2 linked regions of the Xenopus tropicalis genome follow. The protein of the gene in region 2 purifies or fractionates together with the protein of the main gene of each other region. This does not show direct contact. Links are inferred from orthologs where the notes say so. Each region holds a gene or a part of one and is shown on either strand. Other genes may lie near its edges. The genes, in order: larp7 and lin28b.

The links.
Region 1: the proteins of lin28b (region 2) and larp7 purify together in Homo sapiens (affinity purification with mass spectrometry; 3 studies listed by BioGRID and IntAct, with this or other methods). This does not show direct contact. The link is inferred for Xenopus tropicalis from reciprocal best matches to the Homo sapiens genes LIN28B and LARP7.

The regions. Positions count from the first base shown.
Region 1 is NC_030677.2:68,989,200-68,993,021, reverse strand, and holds part of larp7 (la-related protein 7), read right to left. Parts: intron 1,258-3,822; coding exon 1,103-1,257; intron 956-1,102; coding exon 855-955; intron 55-854; coding exon 1-54. UniProt on the Homo sapiens protein: RNA-binding protein that specifically binds distinct small nuclear RNA (snRNAs) and regulates their processing and function.
Region 2 is NC_030681.2:80,100,027-80,104,630, reverse strand, and holds the start of lin28b (protein lin-28 homolog B), read right to left. Parts: upstream 3,116-4,604; 5' UTR 2,951-3,115; coding exon 2,941-2,950; intron 2,257-2,940; coding exon 2,060-2,256; intron 1-2,059. UniProt on the Homo sapiens protein: Suppressor of microRNA (miRNA) biogenesis, including that of let-7 and possibly of miR107, miR-143 and miR-200c.

The sequences.
Region 1 (3,822 bases), on a different chromosome or scaffold from region 2:
ATCACCTTCCAGCATGTCCACATAGACCACTTCGCACACTCCTGAAAATGCATCCTGTTAAAAGAGAAAGTAATTTATTATATTTACAAACATCAACACATGCTCATACAGACACATACAGTATAGGACAGTGGGGCAAGGGTGAGAGTTGCTTCTAAGTAATATCAGCAAGATTTGCTAGTAGTCACCCTGCATTGTACCAAACTGGGTGGGAATTGTGGGTGCAGAGCAACTCAGTGTTTCTGTAAGTGACCAATGTCACCCAACAAGTTTCATAGATCAGAACTTCCCAGGACACTAACACAATTTCTAAATGAAAGAATGAATGAATGTAGATTTTATTTATTTTATTTATTTACTATGAAATACTTCCATATAAGATATCATCCAATTAAACCAAATAATGTTCCCTTATCAAATTTCAGGAATTATTTAGTGCACACATTTTTTTTTTAAAGAGGATCAAACATGATTTACAGCATTTGTATCCATACTTTTCCTAAGGATAATGCCACATGAGGGGAAAAAAAACAAAACAATTGCCACATGTTTTCCAACCGGCAATTTACATTATAGCCAGTGGGAAATCATTTACAGATCAGTCACTCCCAGTAGAAGACCTTTATCGTAGGAAACTAATAAAAAAGAAAAAAAAGTGTACCTAGTATCTATAGCCTGTATTGTCAAGACAAAATAAAGTGTTGCTTGTTTCTGTAGCATAAAGTTTTAGGTGTTATTCTTTGCAGGAATGCAGTGAATAATTATATGCACCCAGCAGTACCAACAGAGTGAAGAGACAGCGCTCCCAGGCAGGATGGTAGATTATTAGGATAAGAGAAACACAGACAATTTACCTTAACATATTTGCGTCCCTGAAGAGGATCTGAACTTGTGATTTTCCCTATAACACCACACACAAACTGTGGTCCCAGTGGTTCATTCTTTACAGTCTCCACTAAATCCAAATATGAAATGGAAAGAGTTATATAATTATAAGAAAACATTTTGGTAGATAAATAGATAATTGAATTAATCTACATATTTGTCAAGTTAAAGAAAAACCATTATAATTATAAGCACATAGTTATTTATTTATTTATACCTTTTCCATTCTTAATATCAAAGCTTTGCATGGATGGTTGTGTTTGCATTTCCTCCTCAGAGATGTGATTCATTTCACTCATTGATTTCTTAAGAGAGGCCATGCTGGCTCGCTGCAGTGTTAAATATTCGGCCTTCAGGACCAACCATTCTGTCCTGGAGAGGAGAATAATTTAGTGTCATAAAAAAAAAAACCCAGCAGTATATACAGTGATTGTCTAAAGTGAACCCTTTCAAATTTCCTATATTTTTAAGTGAATATGACCTGATTTTATGATCTGATTTCCTAAAAGTAGATAAAGAAACCTAGTTAAACAAACTAAACAAAAATTATTATATTTGATCAGGTATTTATTGAAAAAAATTATCCAGTAACATATCTGCGGGCAAATGTAAGTGAACTGTGCTCTCAGTATTTGGTGTGAGCCCCTTGTGCCGCAATAACTGCAACTAAATGTTTGTGGTAACTGTTGATCAGTCCTGGATTACTTCGGTTGTTACCGATATCTGGTGTAAACTTCAGGTCAACAGCCCCATTAGAAATATATTTACTGAGAAAAACGTTGACTTGTTCAATACTTATTTTCCCTTCAAATATATATTGCATATACAGCCATGACGTTTTGGTCCTCCCTGGTGGCTGTATATGCACGTTTAACTATATTTTTTTGATTTGCATAGAAATCCCAGTGTTGCTGGTTGTTTTTGAATGATGTGTTATGTTTTTACAGTGCACCTGGTTATACAAATAAAGCGGAGTGCCACCCTTCTGGTAATTATTTATATATAGGAAAGTCACGATACCGAAGCTTGAATGAATTCCAAAACTTTCGTACTCGTTGTGACAAATACGATTTTGACGCACAAATTGATGCAAAGCATGAAAAAATTGCGGAAATTAGTGAAAATATCGTAGAAAATACGCACAGTTCTAAAACTTATAAAAAAATATGAATTTTTAGCTTTCGGACTCAATCGAACCCCATAGCGTAAGTAGCATATTTTCGGCATGCCAAGAATACGCTACCTACGCTTGAAAATCCTCCTACCTGTGCCTGCACCTGATAGCATTGAATACATTCAGATGCAGACACATGCAGCCGATATCTGCTAAAAAAACGTGAGACTTTGCATTTTCAGTGGATATCGGCTACATGTGCCTGCACCTGAGTGTACTCAATTCTTTCGGGTGCAGGCACAGGTAGGAGGATTTTTAAGTGTATGTAGCATATTTGTGGCAACAGTTTTTCACCTTGCAGAGAATACGCTACCTACGCTAAGGGGACGATTTATTAAAGTATGATAGGTACAAAATACAAAAAAAAAAAAATCAGATTTGTTCATACTGTGCGTATTTTCTGCGACTTTTTCGGATATTTTCTAACTCTTTCATACTTTGCAACAAAATTTGTGACAAAATCATATTGCCGCGCCGAGTACGAAAGTTTCTGATTCATTCAAGCTTCGGTATCGGGACTTTCCTTGGGCCGGGTTGGAGCTGCAGAGTGCCATTGGGTCCTATGGGAGGCTTCCAAAATCATGCACAGAAGGATCAAAGTCGGAAAGGTTTTCCCACCATTTACGATAGTTCGGATATGAAAATTTTGTGACTTTCGGATCGCCAATACAATATTATCGTGATTAGTATGGTTTTTTTGTAAGCATTTTGATGATATTTGCGATCATCACAAAATTATCGTATCTAATTCAAATTTTACCCATTTTGGAATTCGAACTCGTACTTTGATGAATCAGCCCCTAAGTGTGGCATTAGCTTAAGACACTCTGTGCAATGTTTAAACAAAACAGCTATTGGAGGGCATTTTAGTGTGCACAGAAAGTCTTAGAGGCAGACATTTTTTTTTTTTTTTAATTTCAACCTTGACCAAAGTCAGTTCTTTTTCACAAAATTCTGATTAAAAAAAAAAAAAAAAAACACGGTCCCAAAAATGAGTATAAAAAAAAAGTCAATACCTTGAATCGTTAACTTTACATCACTTTAATCACCTCCTCTGTGATTGGTCTAAGCCATGTGCCTGCTTATTATTATAACAAACATATTCTGGATTGTTTAAAAAGACATGATTGGTTTCTCCCATGCTTATATTTTTTTGGATTGGTGCCATAAATGTAAGGCAAATTTTGATTTATGCAGACTTTGCTAAATTATAATTTAATTGCATTATTCATAACTAGCTATTATTATTCCCATGCCACTATATACAAGGAGGCTTCTTCTTGTAACAAAAGCAGATGTATGTAAATGTATTATTTTCACCAGGACAGCATTTGTTACAATGCATGCAATGGGAGACAAAGGAATGTTAAAACAATAGGTGTAAGAAAGAGTTAATGGAGTTAATCTATCAAGCCTAGTCGCATTTAATTAGCCCCTTCAACCTCTTTTGTTGCCAGAGGTATTGGCTTGAGCTGCCACAAACTGGTTCAGAAACAATTCTTTAAAAAAAAAAAAAAAATACGGTGTATATTGGGAAAGAGCTCATGTACACTATGGTAATCTGCACACTGACCTTTGAGATTAAGAGCTTCAATTCTGCATAACTAGAAGTTAATCTCAACCATTTAAAAATATACCTAACTTGGAGGAGTCATTTTCAAATAAAAACAATATAAGATGCAAATTCCAATGAGAGCTGAATGGGATTTTTGTTTGTAAAAATGTTTTACATGTTATCATGTAAAAAAACAGTTATTTAGAAT
Region 2 (4,604 bases):
ATTATTTTCTGTACTAGACAAAGCACCGAGAGCGGGCCTGAGGAAATGCTACACAGCAAATAGGAGGGAGATGTCCCCATGTGACCCATCAGGATCCATGTCACCAAAGCTTTGTTTCTTTGAGTTTGAACCGTGGCCCCAATCAAAGCAACACACAAGGTGAAAGGAAAAATGAAATGAAAGAAAAAAAAAAAAAAAATTATTTATATATATACAGTTTAACATATATATATATATATATATATATATATATATATATATATATATATATATATATATATATATATATATATATATATGTTAAACTGTTATATGTTAAACTGTTATGTGTTAAACTGGGTTGTTGTCAAGGTTGAGCACAAAAAGACACTCCTCTACAACACATAGCATGGAAAGACATTTTGAACCATCTAAATAAGCCTGGCAAAGCAGCAGTATAAATAAGAGTTTGCCTTTCAAAAAACAAGCTCTTCCTTAATGGGAAGTAAAATGCATAATTTAAAATGTAGGTGAAGAGAGGTTCAATGATAAAAAAAAAAAAATCGTATCAAGGATGTTCCACTGTCACTTCAGCTCCCTGTTCTTTGCTTGCAACAAACAGCCCTTATTCTATTGTCTATGGCACAACAGGAAGTAAAGTGTACAATAAAGATTGCTTCCCCTTGTCAGATCCCACAATTAGTGCTCAAGGTATAGAAAGACAGAACAACAAATTTCAGGGTTGCTTTATCTAGAATCACAGCATCATCAGTTTTGCAAATGCAAATCTGAAAAATGACAGTGGGAACTAATGCACAGGGTCATAATTACTAATGTTCCAATAATAGCTTAACTTACAAAAAGCCATATTCATTTTCAATGTTGTACAAGCAACTGTGATTACACTGTAGAATTTTTATAAGTAGCTTTAGTTTAATTTCAGGTAAACAGTAACTGAAAAATCTAAATGTTGCAATAAATACCAAATACACTTCAACAATAGTCAACAACACGAAGATCACATTGCAAAACTAAAATCTAGAAGCTGTGTCACTGCAGCTGTTCAGAAATCACAATATTTGATTGTTGTAGGGGGATCTTGGACTTAGCAACAGTTAAAAAGGCACAGTTGCAGGTGACTGCTGTAACGCATGGCATTACACTTATAGGTACTTGTTCTTGACACAATTTGAGAATGGATTATCACATGTGCACGCTTTTGCTTTTTTGGTATTACACTTAATACCATGACATTTTACACAAACAATTATATCTATATGCAGATCTAATCAGTGAAAATGGCAACCTAGGTTTTGTTTAGTTTTTTTATGGAGCAAACTGTGGAGTGCAGCTTTGATTTCACACAGGAGAAAGTGCAGGAGGAGAACAGCCAACTCCTTAGTTAAAGCATAAACATAAACTGCCTCTGGCCACATGCTTTCTTGACTTCAATGTCCTTAAAGAGACAGAGCAGCTGACACCAGATTTCCTGCTGCTCCCAATCTAGACAGAGGAAAAACGCACAGCCCTAAACAAATGTGGCTATTTACTTTCTTACTGCTTAAGGCAAGCAAAATGAGCTACAATTGGACCTTACCTAAGACCTTTTAAAAAAGAACACTGAAACAACCTTGAGCACTGAACCCAGCTGCAATCAGATGACAATTATGGCTAGAATGATAAGAACATATTTTACATCTAATGGTCTTAATTAGATAACTAACAAGCCCTTTAGAGCAGATAAAGGGTGGAGTCACAGACTGTGCTCTTCATTGGCTGTTTCACTTGAACTCAAAAGAGATTCCTTTAAAAACAAATGGGCGCACTGATTAACCCATTGAAGGCAGAGCAAACAGTCCTGCAGATACAATGAATGACAGGAGCGCAGAGTTAACGATTGCCCATAAAAAAGGTAAAGGCAGTGTCTGCATGCAATGAAAGTGTGGAGTTCATAGAAAGAGCAAGTGTCTATTAAGCACACACATTCCTGCTGCACCAGGAAATGGGGAGAAACTCCAAAGCGGGTGGCTTTCCCCTCTCCTTGTGGGTGGTGAGAGTAAGGAGGGGGTAAGAGACTTACTTGGTGAACAAAAACATCGACAGGGTTTTCCAAGGGACTTCCCTCCCGGCTAGTCATAGATATGAAACCGAAGCCCATCCGTACATTGAACCACTTGCAATGGCCTGAGCCACGCAGGACCTGGGGGTCCTCCTCCTCCTCCTCTTCTTGTTCTGGCAGCTTCCCCTGCTCTTCTCTTGTACCTCTGGCAGCCCCTCCTGGGAGAGAATAGAGGAGAAAACAATAAGCATCAGTTCCGAAAGCATAGCAAACATAAAGAATATGGCACACTATAACACATTAACACTTGCATTCATCTTCTAGTTCTTGTGCGCAACCCACCACTGGGACACTGGGCATTTAAAAAAACCCTTTAATCTCTGCTCGCCGCGTGTTTATTTATAAACCCATGTGCTTGCAACGCAGCTAGCCAGTTCGGTGCTCCAGCCATTCTATACTAGGGGAAGGAGAATAAAGCACTTTCAAAAAGAGAACGGCCCTGGTGTAGGGCGGCGCAGGGAGGGAGGTGAAGCGAGGTATGAGGATTATTGCACAACTTGTTATTGCCCATGCACTGGATCACACATTGTTTTCAGAGTGCACATCCCTTGCAAGTGTGGACTTTAATTGGAAAAACAAACGCGAACCTTACAGGTGGAGAAAACAAAAACCCTAGGATGACTTATACATGCAAAAACGATCATAGCCGATAATTCAAACAAAAGCCTCCAAAAAAAAAATACAGCAGTGCTTGCTTTCTCGACCACGATACGAGGGTAAGCGTGATCTGCTAGCAGCTGGAAGGTGCCCCCTCCTCCTAATCTAGTGCCCCTCTACCGGCCGATCCGCGGAGGGAAAGGAAAAAGCCCAGAAAACAGCAGGAATGAATACGTCTAATGCACCTTCGGCCATGATGCCTCCTGCTCTAGAGACGAAAGATGAAAAGTTTCCTTTTTGCTGGGGGTGATCTGTAGCATCAATGTGGCATCCTGATTTGAAGCGATCCCAAATTTAGCTCGCATGGTCTAGCGTGCTCTCCCTCTTGTGTTGCTCCCTTCTCTCGGCTCTCTGCTCGCTGGCCCCTCCAGCACACGTGACTCTGTCAATTACATGCCTTCTTGCTGCTAATTTCAGCACTGATCCTGAAGGGGCTGGCAAGAGCTGGGCGCAGCCAATCACCACTTCGACCGAGGCTGCCACGGAAAACATTTATGAATGAACGAGGGAAAAAAATCCTTATAAACACGCCAAGCTTTTACACACGCACACGCCGAGCCAAGTCATTTTACTACAAGGAGGCTGTGCATATTTGCTCTTCGTGCACAAGCCTGCAGTGCGCCGATCGGTATGGAGATAACGTAGCGTTACTTTGCCCGCATTTATCGGCGGTGCATGCTGCTAGATTACTGGTATAGTAAATAATGCCCCGCCTGTACTACGGCTTTTTGACAGCTATATGACTAGTGTATATCAGCTGACAATACATGGGAATGATGGGATTTATTCATTGACGTATAAATACTTTGTTATTGATTCTTTGGTGTGCTTTACTAAACATAATAACCAGTGCAATAAACGTGTCTTTACATTTGTGTATCACATAGCCCACTTTAATCTGTGATATGTAGAATGAGAAATTTCCAGGAAAAGGGTGACTCAATGATTTGCTGGTGGGAATTGCACTTAATTAACCACCGTGCCATGGCCACATGGTGTGGCAGCAGTGGGGTTAAACGTGGAGGTTTCCCTGTGTTTTTAGAGGAGGGGGTGGGGAAGAGGCGGGTGCTGGATCAGACTTCACAGGTTTCTCCGCCATCTCTTTCCGGGGGAGGGGATGTGATTAATGACTTCCTAAATAAGAGCCAAGCATTGGAAAGGGAGAGGGGGATGAAAAAGCCTTCATCAACGTGGATTGTTCTTTGGGAGTCACCGGAGGGGAGGGGGGCTAGAAATAGGCAAGGACAATGGGCTAAATGAGCGACAGAGCACGCACCCATCTATTGGAGATGTGCCTATATCATCCCATTCATACAATAAGAATGTTGTATGTTATATAGGGTTTTACTTGTCGTCTACAAATAGGAGCTTTAAACAAAGGCAATATATTTTGGCCTGCCTTTAGCCACTGCTTCATTCATCTATTACGCACTGACCCGATATTGCTATTATGTTGAGACAATTCTCTTCCAAATTATAGGCCATGAGACTTCTAGTATTAAGGTAGCCTGCTCACCTTAGATGCACTGAAACTGGGTTGGTATTTCAACTATCATACTTGTTTATGGCGTTAATCCTTTAGAGATGCCAATCATTTAATGCAGTAACCTATATACCTAGATTCATTCGCCATCAAATTCAGAGCTCAGGACAAGCTGGATCCCTTGTCAAAACGGAAGCCCATTATTTCTAGGTGCAGTTAAACCAGCCCAGAAAGTACACTGGCCAAGATGAGAACATGTAACTCTGCTCCTGACCTACCAGTTTGAGGTCAAACACTACAGCTTGCTTCCCAAATGCCAGGAGGTATTTGTCTCAATTGATGTGCGAGTCCCAACTATGGGGGAAG